4 linked regions of the Arabidopsis thaliana genome follow. The protein of the gene in region 3 interacts with the protein of the main gene of each other region in a pairwise test. Each region holds a gene or a part of one and is shown on either strand. Other genes may lie near its edges. The genes, in order: KCO1, AT3G03210, CNGC9 and ABCG10.

What was found.
Region 1: the proteins of CNGC9 (region 3) and KCO1 interact in a protein complementation assay, tested with the Arabidopsis thaliana proteins (one large-scale study listed by BioGRID).
Region 2: the proteins of CNGC9 (region 3) and AT3G03210 interact in a protein complementation assay, tested with the Arabidopsis thaliana proteins (one large-scale study listed by BioGRID).
Region 4: the proteins of CNGC9 (region 3) and ABCG10 interact in a protein complementation assay, tested with the Arabidopsis thaliana proteins (one large-scale study listed by BioGRID).

The regions. Positions count from the first base shown.
Region 1 is NC_003076.8:22,529,093-22,534,390, reverse strand, and holds KCO1 (Outward rectifying potassium channel protein), read right to left. Parts: upstream 3,034-5,298; 5' UTR 2,955-3,033; exon of another isoform or gene 2,705-2,954; 5' UTR 2,674-2,704; coding exon 1,748-2,673; intron 1,664-1,747; coding exon 1,498-1,663; 3' UTR 1,269-1,497; downstream 1-1,268. Other genes in the region: AT5G55640 (Na-translocating NADH-quinone reductase subunit A), read left to right, coding at 468-525, 674-774, 857-1,147; AT5G55620 (uncharacterized protein), read right to left, coding at 3,713-4,018. UniProt on the Arabidopsis thaliana protein: Voltage-independent, large conductance and potassium-selective tonoplast ion channel. Regulated by cytoplasmic calcium and pH. Does not mediate slow-vacuolar (SV) ionic currents, but essential to establish VK currents.
Region 2 is NC_003074.8:738,153-743,271, reverse strand, and holds AT3G03210 (Pmr5/Cas1p GDSL/SGNH-like acyl-esterase family protein), read right to left. Parts: upstream 2,569-5,119; 5' UTR 2,286-2,568; coding exon 1,179-2,285; 3' UTR 963-1,178; downstream 1-962. Other genes in the region: EXPA13 (expansin A13), read left to right, coding at 305-617; NAC045 (NAC domain containing protein 45), read left to right, coding at 4,745-4,901. UniProt on the Arabidopsis thaliana protein: Component of the plant cell wall polysaccharide acetylation pathway. Does not directly catalyze O-acetylation of xyloglucan but exhibits weak acetylesterase activity in vitro.
Region 3 is NC_003075.7:14,924,927-14,932,135, reverse strand, and holds CNGC9 (cyclic nucleotide gated channel 9), read left to right. Parts: upstream 1-1,780; 5' UTR 1,781-1,996; exon of another isoform or gene 1,997-2,133; intron 2,134-2,418; 5' UTR 2,419-2,454; coding exon 2,455-2,522; exon of another isoform or gene 2,523-2,670; coding exon 2,671-3,259; intron 3,260-3,360; coding exon 3,361-3,573; intron 3,574-3,663; coding exon 3,664-3,974; intron 3,975-4,058; coding exon 4,059-4,407; intron 4,408-4,490; coding exon 4,491-5,162; 3' UTR 5,163-5,302; downstream 5,303-7,209. Other genes in the region: AT4G30570 (Glucose-1-phosphate adenylyltransferase family protein), read left to right, coding at 185-235, 316-381, 475-714, 792-1,430; GGP3 (Class I glutamine amidotransferase-like superfamily protein), read right to left, coding at 5,423-5,518, 5,632-5,964, 6,198-6,518; AT4G30540 (Class I glutamine amidotransferase-like superfamily protein), read right to left, coding at 7,061-7,168. UniProt on the Arabidopsis thaliana protein: Putative cyclic nucleotide-gated ion channel.
Region 4 is NC_003070.9:19,860,613-19,865,858, forward strand, and holds ABCG10 (ABC-2 type transporter family protein), read left to right. Parts: upstream 1-2,208; 5' UTR 2,209-2,265; coding exon 2,266-4,038; downstream 4,039-5,246. Other genes in the region: AT1G53265 (uncharacterized protein), read right to left, coding at 486-863; DJ1B (Class I glutamine amidotransferase-like superfamily protein), read right to left, coding at 4,330-4,527, 4,680-4,820, 4,907-5,107, 5,245-5,246.

The sequences.
Region 1 (5,298 bases), on a different chromosome or scaffold from region 3:
GAGAGTAGTTTTTTCTAATACTTAATTTTATAATTTTATATGTATATAGAGTGCAATTTCCCTAATATAAACAAAAAACCAAACACATAGTACTAGTTTTGTTTCACAAAGCACAACGCAACATTTTCGTCTAGGAGTTTCACGAATGAGTAGCTGACACGTGGCTGAATACCGACCATCGATAGTAGATTACAAAAGTATCCCTAACATCTCCTTCTCCGCCGTGTCAATCGCAAACAATCGAATCCGGATCCGATCCGATTCGCCTCAACACCATCATTATTTATCTGTTTCCCCCTTTTCCCAAGCTCTAACATTTAGGGTTTCGCGAAAAATCAATCAGGTGAAAAATAATCGAATTATTGTAAAATTGATACATAAATTCACATTCAAAAGCCAAAGAGCTGAGAAATTATTTTTTGTAAACTGTTGGTCCTTCGGAGAGTGTCCATGAACGTTAGTCTTCAATGGATACATCTGTAATGCAGACGAATCTTCCCAAGGTAGAAGACAATGATGAATGGGGTAAGTAATTTCGCTTTAATCGATTCAGTTGCATTTCTTTATTGAAATTAGGGTTCTTTCGTGTTTATGTGATCGGATTCAATCATTCAAATTTCTGTATCTTCTTGTGTAATTACAAATCTTGAGTCGATCATTTGATTGGTGGCAGACACTGATGGGTTTGTGATTCCGAGCTTGGAGATTGAAGAAGACAAGGTTAATAATAATAATGATTCAGAAGTTGAAACATCAAAACCTTCTTCTCCTAAGGTTAGTGATTGATTTCTTACGTACAAGACAAGTTTCAAAAAAATGTTGTTAACTCTTTATCTCTCATTGTATGATTTTGTAGAGTAAAGCTGAAGAAAACATCTACTTAGGACCACATGGAGCTCCTCCTTCGCAGCTACAAGATGGTGGTAGTAACACATCGAGCCGCAAGCAGCGGTTTAAGCAGATGCTCAAGGAAGCAGATCAGAAAATGAGCGGCTCTGGTCGAGAAAACAAAATGGCTAACTTAAGAGAGCTTGTAGGCGGGGGTGCAGGTGCAGAGAAAGGAACTAATATGGGAAAAGGTGTTTCAAGAGACTGGCTTGACCCTCATTGCCATGAATCTCAGTTCGAGAAACGACGACTTCCATAACGCGAGAAACCGCTATCTTTTGAAAATGTTTTGTATCAATCAAAATACCAAAAAAGTTTAAAGCAATAAAACAGTCTTCATACCCTGTCCTTTGAGAGAATCATCCATGAATTCTTGGTCATGGAGCATAACACTAGAGAGCTTCATATGTATAGATGTATGTAAAATTATACACTCAGCATCAAGAAACGATCAAAGAGTTAGAGTGTGGCATTACATTACAAACACAAACAGGAAAAAACAAACAAAATTTCGAAAAACTGTTCACTCTCTTCGGCTTTTTGTTGTGTGAAGGTATAACTAAACAAAGATTCTGATTCGTCTTCGCAAGATGATGATGATGATGAGGCTTACCTTTGAATCTGAGACGTGGTCTGAGCTAAAACGATGTCAGAAGTCGTGAGAGTTCCTGATTCATCGTAATCAAGTTGCTCGAACTCATCCATTATCCCAGAAATATCTTTCTCATCAATCTTACCCATTTCTTTCAGTTTATACACAATAAACTCTGCAGCTCTGCAACACACAATAGACAAAAAAAAAAGAATAAGAAGAGGAAGAAGGAAACAGAAGATAGAATATGTCTGATGTCTTTCTTACCCAACAACTCCATCTTCATCGAGATCAGCTGCTTCGAGATCATTGTTTGTGATTCTTCGCGTTAAAACCCATTTCACCAACGCCCTCTGTTTGTTTTCTGTATTTAGCTCAGCTACATAAAGGAAAAACTGAGCCAAACATATGCTGCTCGTCAAGATCCAAAACACAGCAAAAAGGCGTCCGGCTTCCGAGTTAAAGCTCTTATCTCCATAACCCAATGTTGTAACCGTGGAGCAGACGCAGTAGAAAGCTGAGATAACCGGCATTTTCTCAACCATTACAAGGAAAATCGTGCCAACAATGAAGAGGACTACAAGGACAAGGCATGTAGCATAGCATTTGTATCTCAACTTGTTAGTATGCAACTCCTTGAGAATGTCTGTTGGACCAAAGCTTTGACGCAAATGGAAAGCCCTAACGAGCAAAGCCTCTTGTTTCTCCACTAGATAATCCGCCGCTCGACTTAAGAGGTGACCAACGAGGACCATTCCCGAGAAGACGAAGGCACAAGCAAGTAGCCTTGAGGCGGAACTATTAGGGACAAGGTCACCGTATCCAACAGTTGTCATCGTTACTATACAGAAATAGAGAGCATCTACCACACCACTGGTTTTATGACCGGAGATCTGGTCTCTCACGAGGTAGAAACAGAGCGTACCAATGGTAAGATATAAAGCCAAGAACATGATCACTCGCCTGAGATTCGGGTTTAGATCACTGAACATTGGGATTTTACTCGGATGAGGAGGTGGTTCGTCGATTTTGACATCATCATTGTACATACAATCACCACGAGGAGCACTTCTAGAGCGACGCAATCTTCGTTTTCTTGAAGAAGAAGTTCTTGAGTTCAGGTTGAAATCTTGAGCCATGGTATCTATCTTCTCAGTGGGTAACAATGGCGTACGAGCTGCATCACTCGACATTTCTAGACTCAAACCAGATTAACTATGAGATCTGCACAGAACAATCAAATCTCATGTTTATGTTACGAAAACCATCGCCAAAATTGACATCTCCTGTTCTGAGAAATGAACATATGTATCAAAAAATTTGAATTTCGTAACAGAAACTTGTCAGAACTTAGATACAGATTTTGAGTTATAGCTAAAGATTAGACCTTTAGACAATGAAAAGATGAGTTTTGTGAGAGTAATCAATCAGACACAGAACACGAACTGAAGGAGGAAGAAGAATTGAGACATACCCAGGAAAGTAAGATCGAAATCAAAAGAAGCGGTGTTGTCGGATCTCGCAATTGGTCTTCATTGATGATGTTCTCACAGTTGGCCAATTCTTGTTTTTATTTTATTTTAATTATCTTCTTTTTTTTTGGTCAAAATTTATTCTCTTCAAATCCGATAATTTTGTTTTTATGATCTTCTTCATTTTCTTGATAGGATTTTTCATTAGTATCTTAGTATAAAAATGTTTTGTTTTGTTTTTTAAATGTTTTTTTTCATATAGAAGAATGTATGTAATGTCTTAATTTTCTAGTTAGTTTTCTATCCTTCTGTTTTTTTTTTGTGCAAATCTAGTAATTAGTTTTATATTATACACTCATAATCACAAGTAATGTACAAGCCAATAAGCCAAAATATCCAGCATGACGTCATGTTTAATCTATATCATACAATAATCTATATGTTTTATGTTAATGTCAATATGTTAAGATTTTTATAAGTCGATAAATCACATTTTTTTAGTGTTATACATGACATCAAAGATGTTATTAATGCACTCATATGATACATATATATGTGAAGAATTGCATACTTCAAAACATCCCCACACACAAAGAAATATAACACACACTAGTATTTGACATAGTTCTAAAACATTACTAAGTGATTGATATACATGGTAATTTGACATAATTTTAAAAACATTCAACCACTCGAGTATAGGCTCATTGATATGCATGTGGAGAGCGATATAAGATCATTCAACACCAACATAGACCATCTAAAGCTGATCAGGCCAGAGAAATGATTCAATTGCAAAAACCCTCTTGTCTTCAAGAGATCCTTCAAAGGAGAATCCATATTGTTTGAGGAGCAAGTCAAGGCGGAGATCATCCATAACTTCGTAATCAGACTTGGAGTATTTAGGGTAGTGAAGAGGGACTTGGAATCCACTTGGGAATTCTTCTTTCTTCATCATCTTTATAATTTTGTTGCGGGTGCTTTGGCAGTTGCTGGCTTGATCCATATGGTTCGAGTAGCCGAACATTTGGGTGAAAGCCGATGTAAAGAGCAATTTCATTTCCATTGTCTTGGTTGATTTTAAGATTTTATACAAAAAAGGAAAGAAAACGAAGGTTTGAAATAGAGAGAAAGAGTAGAGAAGAAGAAGAAAGAGAAGCAAGGAAGCTTAAGACAAAATACCAAAAAAGGAGAAGCTTGAGACAAACTCTAAGGCAAGCTCGATGTTTGGTTATAGTAAAGGCGACCAAAGACTAGTATATATATAGAGGCAGGCAGGTAGGTCAGTAAGACAATTATTATTTGTCTTTTCGACATGATAATCGTCATTTGAATTTTATTTTTATCATCAAACTATAGTATGTAATATAAGATGTACTAGAAATTATTTGTTTTTGTTTTTTTAATTAAACAAAAGTATGATTATAACGAGTAGTTCTTGTTCTAAACCAAACCAGTAAACCTTTTTCCTTTTAATGAAAAAAAAGTATGATCATAAATAACAAAATGTGAGAACGACGGCTGTGAGCTACATGCACCAGGAAACGCATCGGCCAATGATGGTTCATGCATTCATGCACTCATTATCTTAGGTGGGGACAAGTATAAAACAGTTGTGGTGTGCAAGGAGAAAGTAGGTGAAAGTATTTAATATTTATATTAACTAAAAATAACATACTATGTTTTTGAGGTTATATGAGTTTTGGTCTTTCTTTTTAATTTAAAACCATTTTTATTGGCATTTTTTGCGGAATACCTTGTATATTCTAGGAAAAAACACTTTTTATATAAAACAGTTAAGATTATGATATAATTAACAAATTTTTAATAAAGAGAGAAATTAAGAAAGAAGAAGAAAAATGGCCATGATAAATACAGTAGTTGGTTTTACTATTCGGTTGGTGATCCTTTTGTTCATTTTGATAGGTATGAATCTCACCAACGCTTCCATATACTTTTTTCAGTTTTGTTCAAATCATGAATCCATAAGTTTAACATCTTAATTAAGAAAATTACCTATTAAATTCAATATGTCAAAAGCATGCAAAAGGAGAGATATTCTTTTTTTGCTTTGATTTTTAAAGTTTGATGTATATGTTTAGATTTAACAATACAAAACTTTTTTTAAAAGAAAATAATATTCTCTTCATCCCACAAAGATAAGTTTTCTAGAAATTTAACATTCTTTAAAAAATATTTTATAATGACAATTTAACATTCTTCTAATTAACTAACAAGAACACCCAATCTTTTATGTTGCTTTTTATTTCTTATGTATTGTTCTGTTCCTTCCTCTCTCACTTTATTCCATCCTCTGTTTTGTGGATTGTATGGTATCGGGATACT
Region 2 (5,119 bases), on a different chromosome or scaffold from region 3:
CCCCTAATCGTTTTATCTTAGTGTGTACAAGATTCTGAGAAATGGTAGATAGGTTTGCTCATCATAGTTGAGTAGCTTTGCTCTCATTTTCATCTTAGCCATGAGAGGACTGAAATTGACTGTTTCTGTGAAGTTCTAGGCACAATGCGGTAAACTACTATTTAGGTTCATGATACAATGGATCATTAGATCCTTTATTAGTTTGTGAAGTGTTTTGGAGCTGAGCCTATAAATAGTTAGTTGCATATCACTTAAGTTATGAGTTATGACTTACAACCATTTTTGTTGGCTTTTACCAAAACAGGATCAACTGTAGAAAGGAAGGGAGCATGCGGTTTACAGTCGATGGTGGAGGCATTTTCATTTCGGTTTTGATCACCAATGTTGCAGGGTCCGGTGATATAGCTGCTGTGAAGATCAAAGGGTCGAGAACCGGGTGGTTACCTATGGGTCGTAATTGGGGACAAAATTGGCATATTAATGCTGATCTCAGGAACCAAGCTCTCTCATTTGAAGTAACTTCTAGTGACAGGTCAACCGTGACATCTTACAATGTCTCCCCGAAAAACTGGAATTATGGACAGACCTTCGAAGGGAAACAATTCGAGACTCCGTGAGACAGAGACGGACACATTGAGATACAATCCCATGATTCTTTTTTTCCGGGTCAGAATTTTTTGATGGCAAGTATATCGATCTTGGTCTAAGGTTATCTTTAGGGTTGAAAAGGAAAGAACTTGGGTCAGACTTTTGCATTTCATAGTTCTCTCTCTCCCACGCATAGGTACAAAAACTCACCAATGTACTAAGAACAGTGATCACACAAACATCACTATTGTATCTATTTGTTTACATTACTAAGGAGCGAAAGCTTCCTTCAAGTGCTTAAAGCTAATGATGAGTACTGAGTCTTATCGTAAAAAGAATCCAAAAGGGTACTGTGATATAACAAGAATCAGAATAGCTAAAGGTTATAACTTCTCAAAGTCAAAAGATATTAAACCTATTATAGCCATGAATGTAAGTTCACTTACTTCTCCAATGTGAAGATCACTCAGGCCAAAAGGATCACCGTGTGTTGTAAAATTCCTATGAACATCCCACTTCTCTTAAAACTCTACAAGAGAACCCCAAACAAAATAAAAGGAAAAAAAACAAAAAAAAAACGTGTCAAGAACTCATAAAGATTGATGAGATTCAATAAGCAACGCATTGAGCATGACATGGACAGCGGCATCATAGACCGCAGAGTCATAATGCATCCCGTCAAGTGTACATTGCGGTCCACAGTTCCAGGTAAACGACTGGATATCAAGCAAGATAAGAGGACCACCCATTTGACGTAAGATCTTACTCTCCCCGAGTGATCTATCATACTCATGCCACACCGTATCACTCATCTTCTCCTTCTTCTCATCCGTATTCAACATCCCGTTGATCAAAACCGGCATCCCAATCCAGAACAGATGCACAGATCTACCGGAGACCGACCCACCTCCTTCTTGCTCCTTTGGCGTAAGGGGCACTAGAGACTCCACATGACTACTCAATTGCCTCAACCTAAAACCAAAATCTGAAGCATTGTTCACATGAAGCATATGCCATAACCCAGTTCCCATGATCACAACATCAGGATACTTTTTCATCTTCTTATAAGATACCACAAGATCATCCAAATCTTTCTCATAAGGAGCCCAAACAAAATCAAGCTTCATCCCAATCTCCTTAACCACAATGCTGTAATCACTATGTCTCCTAAACAAATCCCCTCTAACCGAATCCATAGCCTTGGAATCCGAACCCAAAACAAGATTCAACAAAGACAAAGCCACGAATCTCGCCTGAGAATCACCAGCAACAACAACCCACGATCCATTCAACAAATCCGAAACATCGAACTTATCCAATTTCTGAAACTCACAACTCAAAACTTTCCTCGATTTCATCCAATCCCAGTTCTTCACGAAATAATCAAGCTTTGTTGAGCCATTGTTCCTACGAACAGACTCCGGATTCGGTACCGGTTTAACATCCCAGACAATCTGATTAACCTCGTTGATACAAGAGATACGATGATCGTAGACAACAACAGAGGAAACAGAGGCAACGATGTCGGAAACGGAAGGGAAATAAGGCGTGAGATGAACACAAACCGCGAGAGAAATAAACAAAGCGCCACTAAAGAAGAGCATCTTGTTCCTGCTCAGATGCCAACCAGCCATTGCCATGGGAACGAAGAGGACGAAACAAGCTGCTAATACTCCCAAATGAATCGCTCCTAGCATCTCTCAGACTCAGATTTCGGAATCAGACACATCTAGATTTCCATCTAGACAAAACCAATTTCATCCAGATTCGAATTAACTCTTTTTCTCTATAATTTAAGAAGAAGCTAGGGTTACGGATTTGGTTCGGTGAAGAGAATCTATCAAAATTGAAGGTGAAGATGAAAATTTGGTGAGATTGAAAGGAACAGAACAACCGTAGGCTTCTTCTTCTTTGGTTCGATTTTTTGTATTTAAAATTTTCCATATTTGTAAGATCTCCATTAATTTATGATCTCATCTCTCTGACTCTCAGACATGGTTCGGCTCACTTTAGCCTCATTATGGAACTGGGAACTATTCTAACGTGCGCTCACCGCTGGGAATCACGTGACCGCTTTTAGATTAATCATAAGTTCCTCGGCCCACGGTCAAGCCCATTTATTCACGTGACCGCTTGTAGATTGATCATAAGTTACTCGGCCCACGGGAAAGCCCATTTAGCCCACATCGTTCAACAAATCAATGACACTTTCCTTATGTGTATTTTCATACGTACGATTTCATCTTGGAATGACATTAAATTCTGTAGATCCGCGTTTTCATCATATAATAAATGGAGAAAAAATCATTATAATCATTTAGACTTCTTTTTTTATAGCTAAAGTTACATGTAATTTCGTGATTTTTCTTCACGGTCTTAAGTCTTGGGGATCTTGTAGACTCCGAAATTTCATAATAGTTTCAACCGATTTTTACATATTAACTTTTAATTTATTACTTTCTCATTCTAACCAAATTTATATATTTTTGCCAATGAGGCAATGACCCAATCTAATGGTGGGGCTAATCATAGGACTAATATGTTATTAGTTTATAGAATGTGTGTGAACGTTAAAAAGAATTAAGTAAAGAACCAAAAGATGGATTCATGTGAGGGAAATGTCTCAAGAAGGGTATGTACTATGTACACATTGTAGATATATTAAAGATATATATATATGTGTATATATATGGTGATACAAAGAAGAAAGAGAATATGGAATTTGGAATAATGAGAGAAAAAGGTTATGACGATGATGAGAAAGGCTGAGAAGTGATTCTCTTGGGTTGGCCCATCAATAGCTTCCAAGGATTTATTCACATGTTCACAACTGCTGGATCCCACATGATCATACATATAACCATCTCAAAACCATATGCTTGTTCAAATTTTATATATATATATATATATATATATATATATCTGATCGATTTCATTTTTCCAAATTTTAGATAAGTTTTTTTTTGATAAATCAACTTTAGATAAGTTTTATAGTCGCCTACACCAAATGTGACTGTATGTTCATATGATTATATATAGCTTTCGAGTTTCGACCAAAATGATAAATACTCAAACTATAATTTCTTATATCCATAAGTCTTTGGAGTACGTAATTGGACTTTCGGTCAATAGTTTTTCTATATTGGAACAAAAGTTTTGGTATTTTATATGACGACACTAAATATGGAGAGGAAAGGATTTCTGGCCACTCAATTTTTTAATTTTTGTTTCAAAATCTCCGAAATTTCAATTTTTTTTCCCGAATCACACAACCTTACATTAACAGCCTAATACACTAGAAAATATATGAGCATTAACTGATGGAACGACCATAAAATGGAGTTCATCTTTCTATTCGATATACGATATACAATATGAATATGAGAAACAGAAATAGACATATATAAATGACAAAATAAAATGTAAAACACTACTAGTATAAATTTACAACATCAAGATATCTATTTTTAAAAAAGATCTATGTACGTAGATCGGATGGCAATGTGAAGGGAAACAAAGGATTCGCATGCAAGTGGGTACAAAAGAGACAGTTATTTCAGTTAGAAGTGCCGCCAAATAACAAAAAAAAAAAAGAAAAAAAAGAAAGAGAGATTGCAACAGTTTTGGGTTAACCCAAGATTCGATCTCCCATGCAACCAATAGAAATCTGACAAGTGCACATATATTCCAGACCGACCACTCTCGGAGAAGCATGGGATAATATAATTGATGAAGAAACACGGTTTACATTTAGGGCGGCAATTTTTGATTAATTATTCCGGTTAAGTACCAGAATCTACACGTGATCATGTTATTTGTTAGCATTTTAATTATCTATCAATATAAAAAAAACACTTCGAACAATATTATATATGCGTCGGACAGAAATTGATGAATTGTAAATATTAATTAAATTTTGAATTTTTTTAACATTATATGTTATTTTGGGATGGGGACCTTCCCTTTATTCACTTTTGCATCTCCCTTTTTCATTACCTCTTTATATATAACCTTGCTCTCCAAGCCCTCAACGAACACAAAACATATACCTATTCTATAATCTCTTCTTCTTCCTCTCGAGTCTCGATTCTCTCTCTTTCTTTCTTTGAAATTGATTCAAACAAAATAACTTCAAGAACAACTTGAGATTATATATATGGCTCCTGTCTCGTTACCTCCAGGTTTCCGATTCCATCCAACAGACGAGGAACTAATTACTTACTATCTAAAAAGAAAGATCAACGGTCTAGAAATCGAACTTGAAGTTATCGCTGAAGTTGATCTTTACAAGTGTGAGCCATGGGACTTACCAGGTAATATTAATTTGACGTTTCCCTTGTTTATGCATGAGATCCACTTAATCAAATATGATTTAAATTTTTTGAAAAATATGATTTCTGATCAACATTAATTACGCGATTCTACTTTAGTTATCAAATTCTGCATATATTATTCATTTATATGGATTTAAATTACAACATCTGTAATCGTTAAGAATTATTATTATTTGTCTAAAACCCATAGGAACAAG
Region 3 (7,209 bases):
TTGAATCAGAGATTCCTGTGTTCTCAGTGAAACTGAAGCAATATATACTGAAATAGTTGTGCTTATAATTCTTGTTGATTCTCCCATAGATGACAGTAGATCATCTGGTTATATTTATGCAGAATTGAAGGCTCTTATTCTAGTTGGAGGATTCGGAACCAGATTGAGGCCACTTACCTTGAGCATGCCTAAACCACTTGTTGATTTTGGAAACAAACCCATGATTTTGCATCAGGTAGGTTAGCTTCTTCTTCTTCTTTTGTATTTGCTCAAGTTTTCACAGTTTCTTTTGTTCTCATTATGATGCATTCGCAGATTGAAGCTCTAAAAGGTGCTGGAGTGACTGAAGTTGTATTAGCTATCAATCACCAACAACCAGAGGTACATACATTCATTGTCCTTAATAACGATACGATAACAATTGAAATTCTTCCGTGTCATCCTCCTTCTCCTTGTGTGTTTGGTATTACTCAGGTCATGTTGAACTTTGTGAAAGAATATGAGAAGAAGCTAGAGATTAAGATTACATTTTCCCAAGAAACTGAACCGCTTGGAACAGCAGGGCCTCTCGCGCTGGCTCGGGATAAGCTGGTCGATGAATCAGGCCAACCCTTTTTTGTACTAAACAGCGATGTTATCTGTGAATACCCATTGCTTGAGATGATCGAGTTTCACAAGACTAACCGTGCTGAAGCATCAATCATGGTGACCGAGGTAGTCAAACAGGAGCATTTTCTGCATTTTGTGAAGTTTATCTTTCATCTGTTAATAGCATTTTCTGATATTAACAGGTTGATGATCCTTCTAAGTATGGTGTGGTGGTTACAGAGGAAGGTACAGCGAGAGTTGAAAGTTTTGTCGAGAAACCGAAACATTTTGTGGGGAACAAGATCAACGCTGGGATATACCTCTTGAGCCCATCTGTTCTTGACAGGATTGAGCTGAGAAGGACTTCGATAGAGAAAGAGATATTCCCTAAGATAGCTTCAGAGAAGAAGCTTTACGCGATGGTACTACCTGGTTTTTGGATGGACATTGGTCAACCGAAAGATTACATAACCGGGCAAAGAATGTACCTTAACTCTCTAAGAGAGAAAACTCCGCAAGAACTGGCCACAGGGGATAACATAATCGGGAATGTTCTCGTGCACGAAAGTGCGGTTATAGGAGAAGGTTGCTTGATAGGACCTGATGTGGTGATTGGTCCGGGATGTGTGATTGATTCAGGTGTAAGATTGTTTGGTTGTACTGTAATGCGCGGTGTGTGGATCAAGGAACATGCGTGTATCTCTAATAGTATCGTGGGATGGGATTCAACCGTTGGAAGGTGGGCTCGAGTTTTTAATATAACGGTTCTTGGCAAAGATGTTAACGTCGCCGATGCAGAGGTTTACAACAGTGGGGTTGTTATCGAAGAGCAAGGTCTGTGAAACCAGAGCCTAGACCTAGATTAGTTAGTTCCACTGTTTCCAGAGTCTTATGAACCGCAATATTCTTACAATTTAAAACAGATACAAACTCTATGGTAAACCATATCATAAACCGGTTAAAAATGGTATTCGACACCAATAGAGAAAAACGTTTTTCAGATCCATCCCTAAGCAAGTTGTGTATATTTCTTTCGTAAATGTTTTGAGACATTCTTATAAGGGACATATAAATTATTGTAGATAAAGCCTATGTTTCTTAAACACGAAACTGTGATTTATTAATAGACTATAGTTTGGTGTATGTAATTAACGTTGAGAAAAATGAAAGACGTGACGGCAGAGAGAGAGAGAGTGGACCCGACCCGGACGGCACGGAGACACTTTCAGTTTCTTCTTCTTCTCTTCTGTCTTTGTGATATTTCTCTCAAAATCAATATTTTTTCATCTGTGAAACGACTTCGTCTCCTCCCACTCCATTGTCACTTTCTTCTTCACCCTTCTCTCGTCTCCGTCTGATTTGGCGTGTAACTTCTTTCTACCGTAATTCTCCTTCGTCTTCTTCTCTGGTATATCTCTTGCATTCCCTCCTAATTTCTTAGCCAATTACTGTTTGGAATGATCTTCATTTTGTACTTCCCATTGCTTGATTTTGGTTGACACCTTTCTCGTTTAAGATCGTCTCGTTTTCATGCTGAAAACTCAAGTATTTAGTTTTTTCGTTTGTACCCTTTTGTTGATGTTTTGGTTTGGGGAGAAAATGTGGTTCCTTTCAAGTTTTTTCCGTCAATTTGAGTTCTCAGGTCAACGAAAATGGATGGATGTTCTTAACCCATTAACCAAGTTTGATTTTTAGAGAGATTCTGTAAACAAACAATAACATTTTTTGTGCTTGAATTATTTTTATATTTATTGCAAGTTTAGGATTTTGCTGCTTGAAATGATTTTGATCATAAATGTTTATTACATTTTCTTATGTGTGTAAAAACAGGTTTGGGATTCATGAGTTGAGTCACAAGGAAAAAGCATGTTAGACTGTGGCAAAAAAGCAGTCAAATCACAAGTAATCAGTGGCCGTCTCGAGAAGTTTGTAAGGTAACTCTCATTATTGTATATAGTTGATCGAAATTTAACATGATGATATCATTCTAGCAGATTCAGATATTGTTTAGCCAAAAAGGACATTCCTTTACTTCAGGTTTGAAACTAAATGGATATCTTTAGTTTATTTTGTTCTTCACAGGTTGGATAGTATGGATTCTAGGTACTCGCAGACTTCTGATACTGGTCTAAACAGATGCACTCTCAATTTACAAGGACCAACACGTGGTGGTGGTGCTCAGGGAAACAATGTATCTTCTGGTTCCTTTAAGAAAGGGTTTAGAAAAGGTTCTAAAGGTCTTTGGTCTATAGGAAGATCAATTGGTTTAGGGGTTTCACGAGCAGTTTTTCCTGAAGATCTTAAAGTATCAGAGAAGAAGATTTTTGATCCACAGGACAAGTTTCTTTTGCTCTGTAACAAACTGTTTGTTACTTCTTGCATTCTCGCTGTGTCTGTGGATCCGCTCTTCTTGTATCTTCCGTTTGTTAAGGATAATGAGAAATGTATCGGTATAGACCGGAAGTTGGCTATTATAGCAACAACGCTGCGGACAGTAATTGATGCGTTTTATCTTTTTCACATGGCTCTTCGGTTTAGAACAGCTTTTGTCGCCCCTTCTTCTCGGGTTTTTGGTCGAGGCGAACTTGTGATTGACCCTGCACAGATAGCAAAACGTTATTTGCAGCAGTATTTCATCATTGACTTTCTCTCTGTGCTTCCACTTCCACAGGTAATAACAGAAATGCCTCTCCCAGTGTTCTCTTATCTTCCATTGTTTCTTTGTTCTCTAAATTTTTATGACTAGTTTATGTTATTCTTTGGATTTTTCAGATTGTAGTTTGGAGATTTCTTTACATCTCTAAAGGTGCAAGTGTGCTAGCAACAAAGCGGGCATTGCGATCTATCATTTTAGTTCAATATATTCCAAGATTCATTCGGTTGTATCCTTTGAGCTCAGAGTTAAAGAGAACAGCTGGTGTTTTTGCTGAAACTGCTTGGGCTGGTGCAGCTTATTACTTGCTACTCTACATGCTCGCAAGCCATGTCAGTACATACTATCTTTGGTAGCTTTCCTCTTATATTCTCAAAAGATCCATTCATCACTCTCTCTTTTTTCCCTTATGTTTTTATCAGATTGTTGGGGCTATATGGTACTTATTGGCCTTGGAACGTTATAATGGATGCTGGACCAAGGTTTGCAGTAATAGCAGCTTGGACTGTCACAGAAACTTCCTGTTTTGTGGTAATGAAAAAATGGATGGTTATGCAGCTTGGACTACCATCAAAGATTCTGTTCTGCAATTAAATTGCCCAGTTAATACAACCGATAATCCTCCTTTTGATTTTGGGATCTACTTAAGAGCCTTGTCCTCTGGCATTGTCTCATCTAAGAGCTTTGTCTCTAAGTACTTCTTCTGTTTATGGTGGGGACTTCAGAATCTCAGGTACGTAATTCTAAAGAATCCGTCTTCTATAGTCATTATGAAAAGTCTCTGTTGCATTAGTAACTTTGTCGATGTCAAATGCAGCACTCTTGGTCAAGGGCTTGAAACCAGCACATACCCTGGAGAAGTTATATTCTCCATAGCACTTGCCATTGCTGGACTTCTTCTCTTTGCTCTTCTTATTGGAAACATGCAGACTTATCTTCAATCCCTTACAATCCGGCTTGAAGAAATGAGAGTGAAAAGACGTGATTCAGAACAGTGGATGCATCATCGAATGCTTCCACCGGAACTGCGAGAACGAGTCAGACGATATGACCAGTACAAATGGTTGGAGACACGCGGAGTTGATGAAGAGAATTTGGTTCAGAACCTCCCAAAGGATCTGAGAAGAGATATCAAACGCCATCTCTGTCTGGCTTTGGTTCGGAGGGTAAGTTGAATCTTACTTTAAAAGCCTTTTTCTAATCTTGATTCATAAATGAAACCATCTTGTTCTATTTTTCTTATGGAAAGGTTCCATTGTTTGAGAATATGGATGAGAGGCTGCTCGATGCAATCTGTGAGCGGTTGAAGCCGTGTCTGTACACAGAGAGCTCTTATTTGGTTCGGGAAGGCGACCCGGTTAACGAGATGCTCTTCATTATCCGTGGTCGGCTTGAGAGTGTGACCACCGATGGCGGAAGAAGCGGTTTCTTCAACCGCAGTTTGCTTAAAGAAGGAGATTTCTGTGGGGAAGAGCTTTTGACATGGGCACTTGATCCCAAATCTGGTTCCAACCTACCATCCTCTACCAGAACCGCAAAGGCTCTAACTGAAGTAGAGGCTTTTGCTTTGATAGCAGATGAGCTCAAATTTGTGGCTAGCCAGTTCAGAAGACTACACAGCAGGCAAGTTCAACACACATTCAGATTCTACTCGCAACAATGGAGAACTTGGGCTGCTATCTTCATACAAGCCGCGTGGCGACGATACGTGAAGAAGAAGAAACTTGAGCAACTCAGGAAAGAAGAAGAAGAAGGAGAAGGATCAGTTACTAGCATCAGAGCGACGTTCCTGGCTTCAAAGTTTGCTGCAAATGCACTTCGTAAAGTTCACAAGAACCGTATTGAAGCAAAGTCTACTATAGAACTTGTGAAATATCAGAAGCCTTCAGAACCTGATTTCTCTGCTGATGATACTAGTTGACCAAATTTTACCAGAAAAGTGCTAATGTCTATGAACGCTTATAACTTGTATAACTCGGATTGAATTTTATTGTTTGATTTGTGTTGCTACATTAAGATAAAGAAAAAGGTGGTAACATAAAAGATTATTTGTGATTGTGATTTGTTTTATATGTGTTTCTTTCTGTTTCCTGAAGATAAAATATGAAAGATACTGCAGGTTTATTGAGAGATGACATAGTTTTTGATAAGTTCATACAGAGATAACATAGTCTCGGATCATCAACCTTTCAGGAAGTTTTTGCAGAGCTTCTGCCATAGAATCCTGTCTGGTTGCGCAGTCTCCATCGTACTCTTTGCCTTATCCGCAAACTCTTGCTGAAAAAAATCAATCACATTGCAATTCTTGATAAGGCTAACTACATTGAGAACAAGAACACTCCGAAATGTTTATCTAGCAAAAATAGAGATCATAGAGAAGGAGAACAAACCTCCATCAGCTTCATATTAAGGACTCGGTCCACAATCTCAAACAGAATCTCTTTGTTATACTCTGGATGCCCTTGAATACAGAAAAAATGATCTCCAATAGAGAACATCTCGACGTTACATACCTCAGAAGAAGCAAGTAGTGTAGCAGACTCAGGAAGTTCCAACACTTCATCCTGATGACATTTTATAATAGCTAAAGATGCTGGGACCTCAACGTCTCCAAAGTAACCTCGTAGTTTTTCATTGTCTTTCGCTATGGTTATGCTTCTAAGTCCCATATCTGCACCTTTGAGTGCTCTTCCTATCTTCCCACCTTTAACTCTAGTAATTATCTATAGCCAAAAGAACAGAGACACAATCCAGAACAAAGCAAACGTTCATCAACAAACACTCTCTCCATCAATAAACCAACAATATAAAGATATCAATCTAACTATAATGGCATTGGAACAACTCGAGTCTGATCTAAAAATTGAAATGAGCTAAATGTGAGTCAATCTAAACCCTAAGATTCCAACCGATCAGATCCAAATCAGAAATTGAGCAAAACTGAATTGAAAGGAACCTGGTGGCCGAAGCAGATGCCGAGAACTTTCTTCTTCATGTGATCAAGTTTCTGACAAACTTCGCAAAGCTTAACAATCCAATCGGCGTCTCCGAAAGCATCATGTGGACTACCACTGATAACGAAACCGTCGTACTTGTCTAAATCATTCTCGTCGGGAAATTGTCCGTCGATGACTCGGAATAGATCCCATTGCTCACCTTCTTCGCCGAAAGTTGAAACGAAGACATTGAAGTAACCACCGTAAGTCTTCTTCACGAACTCTGAATCACACGTCGCTAAAAACAAAGCAAACCTCTTCTTCTGCTCAATAACCACCATCTTCTTCTTCTTTCGTCTCAGAGATCACACCGATGAAGCAAAAGGAGAGATAGAGATTCGGAGAATGGAAATGTGTAAGTTAGAGACGACGACGGGGAACAAGATCAGACACGCCAAGTGAGATTTTTGTTAAATAAAGAAAACAGAAAAAAAATAGTCAAAAATTAGTTGAAAAAAAAAGAATCACACATCGAGATTAGCTGTCTATAAGATGACAACTCCACCTAATAATTTATCTAAGTTTAGAATCACATTTATTTGTTTACCGTAGCTCGATTTTACGTGTATTTTTTGAAGATCAAATAATCTATTTATACACGTAACCTATACCCACTTATAAATGACTAAATTAAAATTACAAATACCAGTCTTCTTCTTTTTGTTTATCGGTAATTTATTATTATTATTTCTTATAGCAGTCGGTAATTTAGTTAAAAGCGAAGATATGTTACATTATGTGATGACCATGACCATATAATAGTTATGAAATTACACAAACGTAGTAGAATTTATTTAGACCATGAACGTGGAAACTAAACCAATTAGTGGGTTCTTCGTCCTTTCAGAAAATTCTTGCAAAGCATGTGCAAACGCTGCGTGTCTGGTTCAAACTTCTTGATCGAATCCTTTGCTTTCTCCAAAATTTCCTCCTACATATTTTTTAGTTTAAAAAATCGTTTTAGAGATTCCT
Region 4 (5,246 bases), on a different chromosome or scaffold from region 3:
AAATCACAACCATCAAGCAAAATCGTATCCTTTGGTGGCCGATTCGACCAGTTAGGGCTCGGATCATTCAGCGAAGCGGAAGTAACCTGCGTAGACATACACCTAGCTAGAGATACACCGGCACGGACCAACGCTGAGAATCCAGAAACGAGAGAACGTGAACGATTCAACAACGAAGACGCAGATCGAGAAACAGTAGGGGAATTGGCGAGAGGAGATGACGAAGAGAAGGAACGAGTGAACAGTGAGGAAAAGGATTTAGCTGGCCGGTGAAGGATGGAACGAGAAATCGCCATTGGAAGATGATAAAAATGGAGAGGTTTTAGTGAAAATGGAAAAACCCCAAGCATAAATGGGTTTAGATGGATCTTTCAAATTTCAAGGATATTATGTAAAACTAAAAATTGTAGTACATATCATTACTATTTTACATTATTTTCAAAATCGTCCCATTGTTATTTCAATTGACATGAGAAACCCATTTGTCACGAAATCATCATAAACAACCATATGTTGAATTCTTCTCTTTCGTCGAGGTTAGTAGAGAACATATCTGGTTGCTCAGTGGGAGTGACATTAAAAACGTCGTCTATGTATTGTAGATTAGGTATTTCAATGATACCTAGTTGAGGATCTCTCAAATAGCTTATAATCTTTGGTAGGACAAGATCCTCCATATTCGTATGCAAATGGACATTGGCAAAGTTATGTGGTAGCTCATATTCCCGTTCTGCTAAGGCCATCTTTTTGTGCTCTTCAGAGCAATACCGAGATTCAGGTGCGTAGACACATGTACAAGACCAGTACGCGAAGGCCTTATCTTTATGCACATAATGCATAACACGAAGATTGGCAACACCCATTGCAGAAACCTGCTAATACACATTGTTAGGTCTAGAGAAAAAAACTCTCTCTCGCAACTTTGAAGATTTTGTTTGCTCTTTGGATTGTCGAGATTGTTTCATTTCGTGTTTTTATATTATTTTTTACTTTTAGTTTTGGATTTGAATCTTAGGTTTAAAAAAGAAAAAGAAAAATTGTGATCAAAACGACATGGTTTGATTGAAGATGATGCTAATTCATTAAACATGGGTCATTTGAGTCGACGTATGTTAGTATTAACTAACATTTGTTATTGCAGATCCTAAAATACGTGCGACCTATAAAGTTTGGATATAATTTTTTTTTTTTTATGAATTTGGGTAAAGAATTAACATTGTACAGTATGTTTTATATAAGAAAACAATACTTTGCAAATTGTACTGGTATAAAAATATCGTTTTTCCAGTCACCCGCTTACGTTTGGTCCAAGTTGTTTTTAATTTTATACCGAATTAAAGTTTATTAGTCACAACTTTAAGTGTTTTTTCCAAACCCAAATCAAAATTCGATTTTTTTCGTCACAACTTTGAATCAGCCCCTTCACCTTTGCAGCCACATCTAACCGAATGCCCACCTAGACAACATCTTATAATGCGTCTTTTTATTATTATTATCCAAAAATAATTAAATTAGTGAGGTTTCTTACGTGATTATTCCTTGTTAATTAAACATCTGAATTTCCGTAAGCGAGTTCGAAACACGTAATTAAATATTGTAGGTAATATATAACAACCAAACTGGGTTTCCTCTCTTTCTTTGTTAGAAAAAACTAATAAATTAGATAAAACAAGTTCACCAACAAGGCAAACATTTCACGGTCAATTTTTCAGCTCACCCGAATTTGAGAATCTCTAGACGAAACCAAATCTCTTTCTAACTAATTCTTTTTTTGCTTTTCTTGTACCTCTTCACAATTTCAAAACCCAATTAAAAAAAAAAAAAAAAAAGAACCAACTACATATCTTAATTTCTTAGATATTTTTTTTGGTCAACCAATTTCATTAGAAATTAAAAAATACAAGAAAAACAACAAATGTTTAATTTCATATAAATTTATCTAACTGTATCAATATTATTTACGAACAAATTCTTTATTAAGAAAAACAAATTAAGCATTTTAAGCTTGGAATCATAAATATCTTTGGTTTAATTTAGTCATAGTCAAGTGCTTTTCGGTTTTCATGGAAGGCAATAAGAGAAAGCTAATAAAGTCTTGAAGCTTTTGAATGTTTGAATAATAAAGGAGAGGTTCCTTAAAGTTTGGTGTGTTAGTTCATCTTCTCTACCATTTATTCTTCACTTAATCTCACACTCTTTGCTCAATTTGTTGATTTCTCTATCTCTCAAAGTTTGATGCTTTCTTTTTCCTTCTTTCTTTCTTAGATGGAATTGCCGGTAAAAGCTCCTATTCCCGGTGGCCGGGAAATCTCATATAGATTAGAAACCAAGAATCTGTCGTATAGAATAGGCGGAAACACTCCAAAGTTTTCTAATTTATGTGGTTTGTTGAGTGAGAAGGAGGAAAAGGTTATCTTAAAGGATGTTTCTTGTGATGCAAGATCCGCGGAGATCACTGCGATCGCGGGTCCAAGCGGAGCAGGGAAAACCACGTTGCTGGAGATTCTAGCCGGAAAAGTTTCTCATGGGAAAGTTTCAGGGCAAGTGCTTGTCAACGGTAGGCCTATGGATGGTCCTGAGTACAGGAGGGTTTCAGGGTTTGTGCCACAAGAAGATGCTCTGTTTCCGTTTCTTACGGTGCAAGAAACACTGACGTACAGCGCACTCTTGAGGCTGAAGACAAAGAGGAAAGACGCGGCTGCAAAGGTGAAGAGGCTGATTCAAGAGCTTGGTCTAGAACATGTTGCGGATTCAAGGATCGGTCAAGGATCAAGATCTGGAATCTCTGGAGGAGAGAGAAGAAGGGTTTCTATTGGAGTTGAACTTGTTCATGATCCAAATGTTATATTGATCGATGAGCCAACCTCTGGTTTGGATTCTGCGTCCGCTCTTCAAGTTGTGACGCTTCTCAAAGATATGACGATTAAACAAGGTAAAACCATTGTTCTGACGATTCACCAGCCTGGTTTTCGCATACTCGAGCAGATAGACCGGATAGTGTTGCTCTCTAACGGGATGGTTGTTCAAAACGGATCAGTTTATAGCCTTCATCAGAAGATTAAGTTCTCCGGTCACCAGATTCCTAGGCGGGTAAATGTCTTGGAGTATGCAATTGATATTGCAGGGAGTCTTGAACCGATCAGAACCCAGAGTTGCAGAGAAATCTCATGTTATGGTCATAGCAAAACATGGAAGAGTTGCTATATTAGTGCAGGAGGAGAGCTTCATCAATCTGATTCTCACAGCAACTCAGTGTTAGAGGAAGTGCAGATACTCGGGCAAAGATCTTGCAAGAACATCTTCAGAACCAAGCAATTGTTCACAACCAGAGCCTTACAAGCTTCCATTGCCGGTCTTATACTGGGGTCGATTTACTTGAACGTAGGAAATCAAAAGAAAGAAGCGAAAGTCTTGCGAACCGGGTTCTTCGCCTTTATCCTCACTTTCCTGCTATCTTCCACAACAGAGGGACTTCCAATTTTCTTGCAAGACAGGAGAATCCTAATGAGAGAGACATCGAGAAGGGCTTACAGAGTTTTGTCTTACGTTTTAGCAGATACTCTCATATTCATTCCCTTCTTGTTGATCATAAGCATGCTCTTTGCTACGCCGGTTTATTGGCTGGTCGGTCTCAGAAGAGAGCTAGACGGCTTCCTCTACTTCTCATTGGTGATATGGATTGTTCTTCTGATGTCAAACTCTTTTGTCGCATGTTTCAGTGCTCTTGTCCCAAACTTCATAATGGGGACATCAGTAATCTCAGGTCTCATGGGATCTTTCTTCCTCTTCTCCGGGTATTTCATTGCAAAGGACAGGATCCCCGTTTACTGGGAGTTCATGCATTATCTCAGCCTCTTCAAGTATCCATTCGAATGCCTGATGATCAACGAGTATCGAGGAGACGTGTTCTTAAAACAACAAGACCTCAAAGAGTCTCAGAAATGGAGCAATCTTGGTATCATGGCAAGTTTCATCGTCGGGTACAGAGTCCTTGGATTCTTCATCTTATGGTACAGATGTTACAGAACAAGAAGCTAGGTTAATAACAATGATCTGCAGATATAATTCAATTTGTTTTGTAATTTTATAAGAAATTTTACTTTCTCATATTCTTTCTTTTTGTTCAGCACTTTCTTATATTCTAAAATTCGCAATGTAAAGTAACAAAAAAACTTTCTGATAAAAACAGAGTAAACTCGTTTATTTATAAGACAGTTTTAAGCATCACACTTAGTACAAAGCTCACCACAACAACGGTACACTCATTGATCGTTTGATACTAAAGCCTTTTTCTTATTAAAGTCACTCTTACCTAAGATACTCATGAGTTTACACAAGTGTTGCCTTTGAGAGCTGAAGTCCTTTCTCGCGCCCGTAAAACTTCTCTACAATTGCAAGTGCAAACTCCAATGAGGTTCCTGGACCCCTGCTCGTTATGAGATTGCCGTCCACCAAGACTCGATGCTCGATGTGACTCTGGTCCGTCAGTTTGCTGCACATTGCTGGAAACGCTGTTGCCTTCTTACCCTGTAAAAAAATCCATTAAAAATTGTGACCCTTCCCTTAGTTTTAAGTGCAAAAATAACGGTTTGATAACAGAATACTCCATGCCATCGGATATATAGTAATGATCCTACACATCTAAGCAAATGTGTGTGCTATTGTGATTACTCTCGTACCTTGAGTAAACCATGTGGCTCAAACACCAGAGCAGGAGAGGCACAAATTGCTCCATATGGTTTGTTTGATTCCGCCTGCTTCTTTAACATATTCACTAGCTTCTCCGAACTTGCAAATGCTTCAGCACCGCCGAGACCACCCTGATAATAAAAAGAGAAGTTCATCATGTTGGCCTCAACTTGCTTGACACTATAAACTTTAGTAATTTGAAGAAGTTAGCACTCACAGGCAACACAATCAGATCGTACGAATTCTTTTCAGCCTCGTCGAGAAGCACATCTGCCACCAGCTTGACTTTCCGAGATGCTACCACTTCCAAACTGTTACCAAGCGCAGCTACGACAACATTTGCTTTTGCCCGCTTCAGGACATCAATGATAGCAACAGCTTCCATTTCCTCCGAGCCATCTGCAATGGGTACAAGAATCTGAAAAGGAAAAACATGATCTCTCAGTGTACGGAAGATTGATTAAGAAAGACGCATGAGCTCAGTAAAGCAAGTGTGAAAAGTTTTGCCAGTCTTTTTTTTCTTTTCATTTTGCCAGACAGGCAATTGAAAGCTACCT